2 linked regions of the Kluyveromyces lactis genome follow. The protein of the gene in region 2 binds, or shares a complex with, the protein of the main gene of each other region. Links are inferred from orthologs where the notes say so. Each region holds a gene or a part of one and is shown on either strand. Other genes may lie near its edges.

Region 1 (6,414 bases), on a different chromosome or scaffold from region 2:
TCCCAGAAATCCTGTCAGATATGAACAACAACTCCTGAGATATAACCGTCAAATTTGGCGTCAAGTAGTCTGAAGTGATAATCCCTAGTGCTATGAAGCATGTCAACAAACTTAATGGCGAAAAGACATACCTGAAAACTTCGTCTGACAATTGTGCGAATCCTACAATCACTGTCAATCCCAAGTAAAAAGTCAGTACAAATAGTTTCCTTCGATACAAAGGCATTCTTTTCGAACCTTAGAGGGAGTGTTTTCTCTCAGCCACTGAGCCCTGTCCAAATAACTACAGACTTCTCTGTATGTGTGGCTCGGCTATGGTTGGATTGAATAATGGTTAAAGGGAAGAACCAAGACCTTTTGGGGAGCAATATACCAAAAATGGGCGATGCGGCTATTCAACTTGGCGAAAAAGAGTATCCAAAAAAGTGAGATATACGCAAACAGATGAACGTACTCAGGTCAGTTAAATGTCAGTTGTGCCTTTGTCAGTGAGTCTTTTGACCTCGCCTGTTCTTTAATTCTTGCCTTGAACTCTTTTCCATTTAGCAATGATTTTCTTCTATGAAATGTTCTATTAAATAATGGTATAAATACATGTGCACAATTCTTGAAATCAACTGGAAAAGAAGATATTATCAACTGCCTCAGTTATCTTCCGGGCGGAACTGAGTTAGTCATCGTATAAGCTGGAGGATCAGCTGTTCTATTCTCAAACTTCACTTTTATAAAGTATCCTTAAGTTTCCGGTATCCAGGTAATTGTAGTTTCTCTTTTGCAATTTCAATGTCGGTATGGATATCTGCAATCAATGCGTCCTTTGTGGTGTAGTCTAACTCGGGCCTTATATACCCTAAGAAGTTGAATTTGATTTGGGCACCGTAGAAATTATCAGAAAACTTGTGGATTATGTGTAGTTCTACCGTCTTGTTTTTGTTCTGGTAGAATGGGTTCCAGCCAACAGAAAGTACCACTGGAAGAACTGCTAAATCTTCGTCATTTAGTAAGGTACCGTTATTGTATTGGACCTCTCTGCCATCGGGTCTTTGTTCCACCTTGGTGTCACGGTCCTTTGCCATCCTTACCTTACACCATCCAAAATAAACTCCTGTGTCTAGTTGCTCCACGATTTTTGGTAAATCATCGATGGGCACGTTCGCTGTAGGAATTCCTAACTCTGCTGATCCACGACCGAAACCAGCTATTACATCGACGAACGATGTGGTAATTGGAAAAGGAGGTTCAGGTGAATCCGGTATCGAAACGTCACAATGCCTTGTCATTGCTCTAGGTCTTACTGCGAGTTTTTGATGATCCGATCGTTATTCGTTTGTATGATAACCACATGGAAGTATTCACAAGATTCAAACTACGTTTTTAAAGGTTCGAACTCTTTGAGTATAAAGACTGTTGCAAGTAAGAATAAGAAAGAAAAGGGTAAATGGGCACGTGAAAATGGGTTCATGGTTTGTTCAACAGTTGCGGAGTATTTCTAGGCAATGAGGTACGCTCTCTCTCTGGAAATATTTGAATCCTCATTATTAAAGTTTTATGAGAACATAAGGCATATACTATGCCCTGAACACATGATGAAAACGAAGATCTGAAGGTATACATACATATATATATATATATATATTTTACTAGAGAAAACTCTAGCCGTTATGCTGCCATATCTGGGAATGATGATATTTGATTTGTATTATGCCATTCCTCGTTAATAATGCGGAGTCTTGCTGCACCAACGAATTTTTTGTCAGCAACAAGTGCAGTTAAATCAATCGAAATAACTTCAAGTAGTTTTGTTGCCTGAACGTTGTATGCTTGGAGCAATTGTGCTGCCGCAGCCTCCCACCAGTAGGCAAGAACGACGAAGTGTGTATTTGTAAGTAGATCCTTTGGAGTGTTGCCGATTCTAGCTAGCATTCTCCATGACCAAGAGATTGGGAAAGGATGCACAAGTTTCTGAATGTACGTTTGCGGTAGAGGTAATCTTGTGATGACAGCAAACAAGGTAATCATACCACCCATCCTTTCATCATATGAAATATCTTCTTCCCATCTGTTGTCACTTTGACGTTTCCATCCCATTCTGGTTCTTCCTTCGACTGTGTCTATGCTGCACGTGTAACCGATAACAAACGGACATTTCTTGATGAGTCTCGCCAGTAAGAACTCTTTGAGTTCCGGGTATGATGCAAGAAGACTTAGCGCAAGTGTTCCTAAAGGCAAAGCGCTTTCAGGTTTCACTCTGGCCTCAGATTCTGCTTGGGAAACAATCGCCTTAGCTATAAAGTTTAGAATCCATTTATAGGCTAATTGGTTAGCCTTCGTTTGAAGTACCAGTTCGGTAAGTTCATTGGTGATTGCATTCAATTGTGCAGTACTGTTGGTTAATTGTCCGAATTTTGGATTAATTTTCCTCTTATGTTGTGCTAAAGTTTTCTTCAAGGTGGGATCCGCCTTCACCGGTTCAATTATTTCTGTTTTAATTGTCTGAATCATGGTTTTGTATTTAGTAAAAGTTTCTTCGATTAACTTGAAATTTGTAGATTCTTTGGACTGTTTAAGTTTATTCCTCTCCAGTTGTTCTTGTTCTTGCTTCTTTTTCAGGGCTTCTACTCTCTTCGCTTCTTCAGCTTTCTTCTCCTTTTCTGCCATTTCTTGAATCTTCCGTTTCTCTTCCTCCTTCAACTTCTTTTCCATCTCCTTTTTATGCTTCAATTCTTCTTGTCTGCGCTTCTCCGCTTCGCATTCTTTCTGGATACGTGCTTCCTCTTCCCTCTTCTTTTTATCCTTTATGCTTTTAATTAAACGTTGATTCACCTTTTCAATTGAATCAATTTCCTCATTCCACACAGATTCAAGCACCTGGTCTTGCATAGGAAAGGTGTGTTGTTCCACCTCGTCAATCAAATCCTTCTTCTCTTGGTAATAAAGTTCTGCTTCGTCAATAAGAACAGGGCCTAAAGCTTTATTCTCGTGACCTCTCGTTGTAAGATGCGGTAGTGCATTCCTTTCAAGAGTGATATTTAAGTTGGAAAGCATTGAAACTATTTCTGGTTCTACCACATCCTCTAAAGAAATTGTATCTCCTGAACTAAACCCTTGCTCTTCACCTTGGCCGTCATTCTTTGAAGAATGGTATAATTTCGGTAGTTTTAACTGGATCCCATCAGATGGATCGCCAATATACGTAAACTCCCCGTCTAATTCATAGTCAGAATCACTGCTGCTGGTATTCTGACTCTGTTTCCGTTCAGCATTCTCGTACAATTCGTCAAATGAGAACCTCATCTCAATTGTCCTGATATGTGTCAATCGCTTTCTTTACTTTATCAAATCGGTAAAAAGCTCAATTCAAGTAAACGATTCGGGGTTAAGTTCGACTGTTATTACCTAAATGGAGAATCCAGCTACGTGTCTTTAAGTACGGGATCAAAAAAAAACGGCTGCAATGCATCAACACAAGGGCTGAAAGGTCAACACTCTCTATAATCATCAACTGAGCTCTACCTGGTTTTTAATCAAATTTCACTTTTTGTTGATTCTTGTCACGTGACGTATATTGAATTCTCTGTACTTGAAAGTTTTAAAAATTTTTCGACCTTTCGAGCTAAAGCTGTAAGATAATGATAGAGATTTGATCAGTTTCACTCGATTTAAAGCAGTATTCCTTCCCATTCGTAGGTTTATACATTCATTCGTTCGCATCTGTGAGAAGATACCAAGTGATAATGCAAGTGGTACGTGGTTTCCACAGTAGTTCAAAGGTCTCCAAAGCTGCTTGTGCTTTGGTTAAGCCAGTGCATCATTTGGTTAAGATCGACAAGAGCAAGCTATCCCCAAGGTTTCCTGAATTGAAATATAGTAAAAACGATATTAGATCTCCAGCATTCAAGCCTGTTGTTACACATCAAGACCGTGTTCGTGAGCATTATTATAATACTTTACAAAGCGATTTATTATTGATAAATTATTCCCACAAAAGCCAAACGAAGCTCGGGTTGAAGCAAAGAGAATGGGACGGTTCTTCTCCATATCACATTAACAGAGAACCCAGAAAACCTAAGGGCTCAAGTGCTCAATTGCCAGATATTCATCCAGTAACGTGGAAGAACATTCCAGACATCGAGTCCGTTGTTATTAACTGTTACGTCAGAGATGCAAAAGAGAACCAATATCTACCAATTTCAGCAGCATTACAATTGCAACAAATTACCGGGTGTAAACCAAAGGCTTTGTTCTCTAGGAATGATGTTCCGGCCTGGAAGGTCAGAAGAGGTACCCAAATGGGTGCTGTCATTACATTGAAAGGTCGTCCAATGTCTCAGTTCTTATCCACTTTGACTGAAATTGTACTACCAAGAATCAGAGAATACAAAGGTATCTCCAACAAGTCAGGTAACAGATTTGGTGGGTTATCATTTGGTATGACCAGCGATGAAGTCAGATTTTTCCCAGAGATTGATGCTAATCAAGATCTTTGGCCAGTAACTTTTGGTATGCACATCAACATCAACACAACTGCCCAAACTGACGTACAGGCTAGAACTTTGGTCAGTGGATTCGGTTTTCCTTTCAACGGTTCGGAAAAGATCAATTAATGCTCCCAAGTAGTTTTTATCCTGTCTTTCGTCCTGTAAATAACACTCACTAATAGGATAAAAAAATTATCAGCATTATATGTATATGACTACCTTTATACAAATGTCGACGTCTCTTAATGTACACTTATATGTAATAGATTTCAATAAGTAAAAAGTGGCATATATATTGCATTACAGGTAATTGGTGAGATCAAAGTCTTCAAATTATTAACCTCAAACACGATCAACACTAACGATATTCATAGTTCTTCCCATTCTGGTAATATTGTCACCATTGGTTAAAGCTAACCCTTGGGTCTTTGAACGAATACGGATTTCACCAACAATTTCTTGTGTGATTGGATCCTTCTCTATGCACAGGTTAGCCAAAGCGTCCTCGCCAAATGTAGATCTAGAATATAAGTTACAACTTAGGAATCTGGAATCATTGTCGCCGAGTGCCTCTTCAGGGGTTAGAACCTTCATATGTGTAACTTCCACCAACTTCTCTAAATAACCGCGTAAAGATGGTAATTTGGATTTGATACGAAGTTTATTTTCCCATTCAAACGCATTCCACATCTTACGGAAACTGTTATCATCGCAGATTGCTGGTTTCACATAATCCATTGTGTCGATATGAACGTCATTCAAGATGACATAACGAGAATCTTGACCGTGACCACCATCATATATAATGTTACCGAAAATAACACCAGTATCTGCTGAGGACACCTTTGCTGTTATCGTAATTTTGTGGAACCCATGTGGAATAACGTTGGTGCTAGGTGGGTGGTCAATAATTTTTAAGTCACCAAGAGTAGCGAATTGAACATGTAGGTTTTTCAAAGTATCCTTGGTTTGGTTCACTAATAGAACATCTAACACAACATCGAATTGGTGATTAGTGATATAACACTCGGCATAAACAGGATCGCTGAAACCAGTCAATGGGACGATCTTCTTCAATTTTGAAGTGATAGAATTAGCTTGTAGTTTGGAATATGATACAGTACCGGTGGTAGCCAATTTTATATCTTCTTCGATTGAATCGACGGGGGTATTGTGCAAGCCTGCATTCTTAAATTGTCTGAAAACGATGGATTTATCGATGGCCTCGGCGTGCTTGGCTAGGTAGTTTGATCTCTTGGCAGCATTCTTCTTCAAAGTAACATTGACTCTTGATTTGTATGATTCGTTGGTAGCTTCCAAGAATGCCAAACTCAAAAGTTCTTTCTCTGCTTGACTTTCTTCGGTAGAAATCTCGTCCATCAATACCGAAATTGCCGTCATTAGTCTTTCAGCAGAGTCCTCGTCAATCTTCTTTTCTACTAAGTTACTTTGACCTAATCTGATGATACTAACCAAAATCAACAACCCTTCGGCCTTTAGGGCGTTAGTTACAGAAGTGTTCTTGGAAATCTTTTCGAATTTCAACACCAATTTAACGATAGAGTTAGCCAACACAGAGGCAGTAAAGAAATCTCCATTTAGGACGAAACGACGTAAAGGAGGTCTTGCTTCTTTTTCCTCGTTTGAGGTGGATTTGACCTTTTCTGAGACAGATAGAGCAGATTCGGTTGCATAAGTACCATCTGGCAAAACTACCGGCCCTGTGGATACTATTGGGGCCTTTTCAGTATCGTCTTCGTCATCATTTTGAACTCTTCTCAGTTCAGATTGAACAATTGGAACTTCACCTATACTTGAACGGATGTGCTTCCAGGTATTCTGGATTTCTGCTTCGGATTGGGCATGCTCACCTAGTACCCAAAGAGCACCACGGTAAGCCTTTGCTGACTTTACTTCATGCAATGTCTCAATCAAA
Region 2 (6,025 bases):
ATGTTGGGTCTATCAGAAGCTCAGACCACAGAAGCTTTATCTCATGCTTTTGTAGATGGACAAGCTTTAAGAACTTATAGGCATGCTCCAAATACTGGTTCCAGGAAATCTTGGGCTGCCGGTGACGCAGTGGCAAGAGCTGTCAACATTGCATATTTGGTGAAGAATGGAAGTCCAGGTACAATTCCTTCCGTACTAACCGCTAAGACATGGGGTTTTTATGACGTTCTTTTCAAAGGTAAACCATTCACCTTCCAGCAAAGGGACACTTTCGGTTCTTATGTGATGGAAAACGTTCTTTTCAAGATATCGTTCCCAGCAGAATTCCATGCTCAAACGGCAGTGGAAGCAGCTATTAAGGTGAATAAACAGTTGGCAGAGTTGGGCAAAACTTACAAAGACATTAAAAAGGTCAGAATTAGAACTCAAGAAGCCGCTGTGAGAATTATTGACAAGGAGGGTCCATTGTACAATTATGCTGACAGAGATCATTGTATTCAATACATGACTGCTATTCCATTAATTTACGGTAGACTAACGGCTGACGATTACAGTGATGAAGTAGCAAGCAACCCTGAAATTGACGAATTGAGAGCTAAGATGTATTGTACTAAAGATGACCAATTCACTTTGGATTATCATGATCCATCAAAGAGATCAATCCCAAACGCTTTGTTAGTAGAATTGAATGATGGGACTGTCTTAGATGAAGTGGTCGTAGAATATCCAATCGGTCACAGACTAAGAAGAAAGGAAGGTGTCCCACTATTGATGCAGAAATTCTACCACCATTTGCGTGAACATTTCGCCGGCGATATTGAAAAGGTGGAAGCTTTAATGGAAGCAAGTACAGATGACGGTTTCTTAAACTTAACTGTTGATGAATATGTCAACATGTACTGCGATTAAGCTTTGTCCTTCGCACAGCATCATCAACGTATAACGACCACAATCAATTTTTCATTTCATTCAACTCTTTTTTTGAACTAAACGAAGTAAAACCTACATTTCAATGGTAACCAAAACAACATTTTCTATTCTACAAAAACTGACCACAGGAATCAAAAGATTCTGGCAATCATCAATTCCAGATTACAATATATAATTAACTTATTTTCTCTTGAGTTAATACATACATACTTATGTTTTAATATTAATTACTGTCATGATCAATTTCTGGCTGTCCATTTTTTTGTCCCGTCACATGTTCGGGTAACGGTGCAAAACATTGTAGTTAAAAAAAATTAGACAGAAAACAATAAAAGAAAATGTAAACTATCAATACGTTGAATAGATGATGGAAATAATTCATTGAAGATACTTTGAAAATCAATACACATTGTTGCTATCCATCGCATCAAATTATCTTTAACCCGTTCAGATTTTGGAATTGTAAAATCCACACAATCGTGGAACTATGAATATCAACAGTCAAATCAGCAGTGATACAATGCTATCTGCATTTCAAAACGATGCAAAGACTAGTGGCTCCACGTCTAAGAGCTCATCGAAATTATTCAATGAGCTTTTAGAAACGTCAAAGAACTTACCTTCTACTTCATCTGACCTTGGAGCTATCTTATTGAGTGTCAATGAGATGAAAAAGAGGGCACAGGAGATGCGTAAGACAATTCCTCACGATTCCAATCATACAAAAGCTCATTATCTCTTAGCAGGAAGTGGACTTGAATTTCACGAAATTGAGAGTTCCTTGAAGAATCTTAAGTCATCAGAGTTGTTAACCGAACAACGGGTTGCACAAGGCTATAACGATGGTGATTTGGACACTTATTTACATATTAAGAAGGATGAGAATATCCTTTCCTCCATTGAACAATCATTGTCTTTAGCAGCGAAGGATTTTGATAATTTCATTAATCAGAACTTCAACCTAGATTGGAAGCAAAGGAAAGATGAAGTAAGAGAAAGCTTTGGGATCCTAGTCAAGAAACGTCAGGATAGTTCTAACTACGATACGACTAATTTGGCTCCTTTGGATCCCAACGGTCCAATATTTTGGGGGAAACCACCTGGTAGTGGTATCTTGGATGGTGATTTAAATTCAAATGTCAATGGAAATCACATCCTTAGAGAAAAGTTTGAGAAATATGCCAAAATTATTTACAGGTTTAACAATTCAAGACAATCACATAATGACGATTTTCAATTAACCAAAGAGTTCATTGCCATCTTTCAGAATACGACCGACTCGAAGTATAGACAGCTACTTGACGGTTGGGAGATTATAGATAATGCAACAAATCAATCCCCAAATATTGTTGAGTTTTCCAAAAAATACCTAGAAAACCAGTTCTTGAGCTATGTTGACAATTTGTATTCAAAGAATCCAAGCGAAGGTTTACCGACCAATGTTAACAAAATTAGAGCATTTATTGACCTCAAACTGAAGACTGGTGAAAATACTTGGAAATTTAACAATCTTACGATTGTGAATGGAATTCCCGTATGGGCCTTGATTTTTTATTTGCTAAGGGCTGGTTTACCGCAGGACGCGCTAGAAGTAGTTGTTAACAACAAATTGAGTTTCAAAAAAGTGGAGCAATCTTTCCTAACATACTTCAAAGCTTATGTAACGTCTCCTGATCATCGTCTTCCACAGGAATTTGTCTCAAGGTTGCATACAGAATATAACCAGCATATCAAAAACACTTTGGACAGCGATCCGTTCCGTTTGGCGGTCTACAAAATTATTGGCAGATGTGATTTGACAAGGAAGAATATCTCTTCTATTACTCTAAGCGTGGAAGATTGGTTATGGATTCACTTGATGTTAATCAAAGATGATATGGATATGGATGATCCAGTATATGAAAGGTATACCCTCAGCGATTTCCAACATACTGTTGTCTCTTACGGTGAGTACATGTTTAAAAACTATTATCTACAGGCCCTTTTGTTAAGCGGACAATATGAACTAGCAGTACAGTACTCATACAAAATAAATGAAATCGATGCTGTTCACTTGGCAATTGGTCTAGCGGCAAATGGCATGTTACATGTGTCATCTTATAAAAAGGATGAGTTGATCTCCGTGAATGATGGCCAAACAAGGATAAACTTTGTTAAGGTATTAGGAAATTACACAAAGTCGTTCAAGTACTCTGATCCAAGAATAGCTGTCGAATATCTAATTCTCATCGCACTAGTGAATGAGAAAGAGCAGATTGAATGGGCGTATGAGGCACTCAGGGAATTGATCTTGGAAACTAAAGAGTTCACCATACTTCTCGGAAAGATCAACTCTGAAGGAATTAGGATCCCCGGTGTAGTTGAAGAAAGACGCCCATTATTACAGCTTGAGGACCAGAAGGACTTTTTGTATAAGATTACCGAACAGGCTGCTCGTAGGGCTGATGAAGAAAGAAGAATTCATGATAGTTTGTTGTTGTACCAGTTATCAGAAGAATATGACATTGTTATGTCCATTATCAACAAGTTATTGGGAGAACTTCTAAGTAGCACTGACCTCAATCAATCCCTCTTTAGGTTGAATGACAACAGCGAAACGAATTACGTCTTAATGGCAAAGAAGTTAATCGAAGTGTACATCAACAACATCGAAATCTCTAAAAAGGTTCAGGCAAGAAACAAAGAAACATGTATTGTCTTGTTGAAACTAGCTGATATAAGAGCATCATTCCTAGCACGCCAATGGCAAAACACCCTACAACAGATTGAAGATCTCGATTTAATTCCGTTCACGGATGAAAGCTCGACCAGAAAAAGAGCACAAGAATTTACACATTTGGATGAGAATATATTAAAGAACATACCTAACCTGTTGATAATTACAATGCTATGCATTTCTAACATCATAAAGCAGTTGAACGAAAGTGATTACCAATCTTTGACTAAAAAGCAGCAAATCGATTCTCTCAAACGTGTTGCTAAAAATTGTATGATTTATGCTGGTATGATTCAATACAAAATGCCAAGAGAAACTTACAGCATATTAATCAATATAGAAGTTGGTTTGTAGCAGAGCTCTCATTTATGAGCACCTGAGTTATGTCAGAACCCAGACGTCCTACCATAATAGCATACAATAAAATAACCATGTGTAAGTCGATTGTTATTCGATATAATTGCCTGATAGATTATATATGCATATGTATATATATACATTTGAACTGCCAATTACCTTTTCAGCAGTGCATTGTTGTAGTGAGTAGAAGATGCAACGAAATGTACAAGAAGTGAAAGAGTATGCTGATCAAATTCCTAAATCATTGAGCGTCTTTTCTGTTCTTATCTCTATAAGCGCTGTAATCTGGCTGGACTTCGTATGCATTCGGACTTGGTGGACGTTTTTGCTCAAGCTTTTTTCTCCGCCTTTCGAGTCTTGCCTTTCTTCTTTCGTCAAAGCTTTTTCCCTCATCCTCGTCTGAAGAAGACGAAGATGATGAAGACGATGAATCATGTCCATGATTATGATCGTGCTCGCACTCTCCTTCCTCTTCTTCATCACTCTCTAATGGGGTATTAGGATGGAAAATGCAACAAATCTTAGTTTTCTTCTTGTTCATGTTCTCATTATCTATTACTTTCTCATCCCATCTTACTTTAGACTTGGTGTCCTTCTTCTTAGTTTTGTTTTTCTCATTCTGGCCAGCACGCAATTGAAGCAGCTGCGGAACCTCCGTAACAGTGACGGTATGCGTTCCTTCAGGAAGAGCAGAAGGTCCTTCACTCATATGTTAGGAAATATTTCAAAGTTTAATTATGATGATGGATCAAACTGATAAAAAAAGCGTGACGATAGGTAAAGTTTTCCTGTCTAAGTCTTGATAATCTTTCGTAATTTCACTTATCAAAGGACTGGGAACAAAGTATGAATAATGTAAGAAATCGTTTCCTATTTCTAAAATCTTCGGCGTCAATAAAACGGAATATTTTCTTCAACAAGTCGTGCTCTCGAGTATTTGACTGTACTAGACCATGGAGCTTCGCTTTGTATATGAGATATCCATGTATGCATAGAAGTACTCCAGTCTCATCTCATTTTTAAAGGGAAGAAAGAGGTTAAATATCTGAAGGTCAGAAAGTGGTGATGTTCGTTAATAATGACTACTAAATCCATAAGCCAAAAGAAAGATCGTAACTTTGTAATGCAGTGGCAAACAGTTTACAATTGATAAAGGTATAAGCAGATAATTCGTCAAGAATTCTCATCTCTGTACGTGTGGTATCCATAAGTCATTATTAGCAGTATTAGATACACAGTAATTGAAATCTACAAGACAATTGCATACTTCTCAGGAAAGAATAAGAATTTCAATTTGTTGGTACTTTATTAAGGAAGTATTATATCAAGAAACAGAACGCTGATACAAAAGCCAATTTATCGTCTCCGCAATTCAAATCCTTCAACAAAAGATGGAAAGTTTACAAAGAATGATGATGTCTCAAAGAGCAGGCATGATGGGTGCCAATGCCACCGAGGTTCCCCTTGATGACACCAAGGAAACTGTGTACATTTCTTCTCTTGCATTGTTGAAGATGTTGAAACATGGGAGAGCTGGTGTTCCAATGGAAGTCATGGGTCTTATGTTGGGAGAATTTGTTGATGATTATACAGTAAACGTTGTCGATGTGTTTGCCATGCCTCAGTCAGGTACAGGTGTTTCTGTCGAGGCTGTTGATGATGTTTTTCAAGCTAAGATGATGGATATGTTAAAACAAACAGGAAGAGATCAAATGGTTGTCGGATGGTACCATTCACATCCGGGTTTTGGTTGTTGGTTATCTTCAGTAGATGTGAATACTCAGAAATCATTTGAACAATTAAACAGCAGGGCTGTGGCGGTGGTTGTTGATCCTATTCAATCGGTGAAGGGTAAAGTGGTCATTGATGCATTCAGACTAATTGACCCTTCTACTGTCATGAGAAACCAGGAACCAAGGCAAAATACTTCTAATATCGGGTTGATCAACAAACCGAATATTCAAGCGTTGATTCATGGTCTAAATAGGCATTATTACTCGCTTAATATCGATTATCACA

What was found. The genes of interacting proteins can lie anywhere in the genome.
Region 1: NIC96 (region 2) and GLE1 share a complex: the UniProt entries of both Saccharomyces cerevisiae proteins name them as parts of the nuclear pore complex. The link is inferred for Kluyveromyces lactis from reciprocal best matches to the Saccharomyces cerevisiae genes NIC96 and GLE1.

The regions. Positions count from the first base shown.
Region 1 is NC_006039.1:1,324,192-1,330,605, forward strand, and holds GLE1 (nucleoporin GLE1), read right to left. Parts: upstream 3,295-6,414; coding exon 1,660-3,294; downstream 1-1,659. Other genes in the region: YCX1 (Ycx1p), read right to left, coding at 1-226; FMN1 (riboflavin kinase), read right to left, coding at 723-1,280; MRPL7 (mitochondrial 54S ribosomal protein uL5m), read left to right, coding at 3,735-4,604; SEC26 (coatomer subunit beta), read right to left, coding at 4,821-6,414. UniProt on the Saccharomyces cerevisiae protein: Functions as a component of the nuclear pore complex (NPC).
Region 2 is NC_006041.1:1,252,188-1,258,212, reverse strand, and holds NIC96 (linker nucleoporin NIC96), read left to right. Parts: upstream 1-1,417; coding exon 1,418-4,000; downstream 4,001-6,025. Other genes in the region: PDH1 (putative 2-methylcitrate dehydratase), read left to right, coding at 1-909; type 1 protein phosphatase-activating protein YPI1, read right to left, coding at 4,248-4,715; proteasome regulatory particle lid subunit RPN11, read left to right, coding at 5,398-6,025. UniProt on the Saccharomyces cerevisiae protein: Functions as a component of the nuclear pore complex (NPC).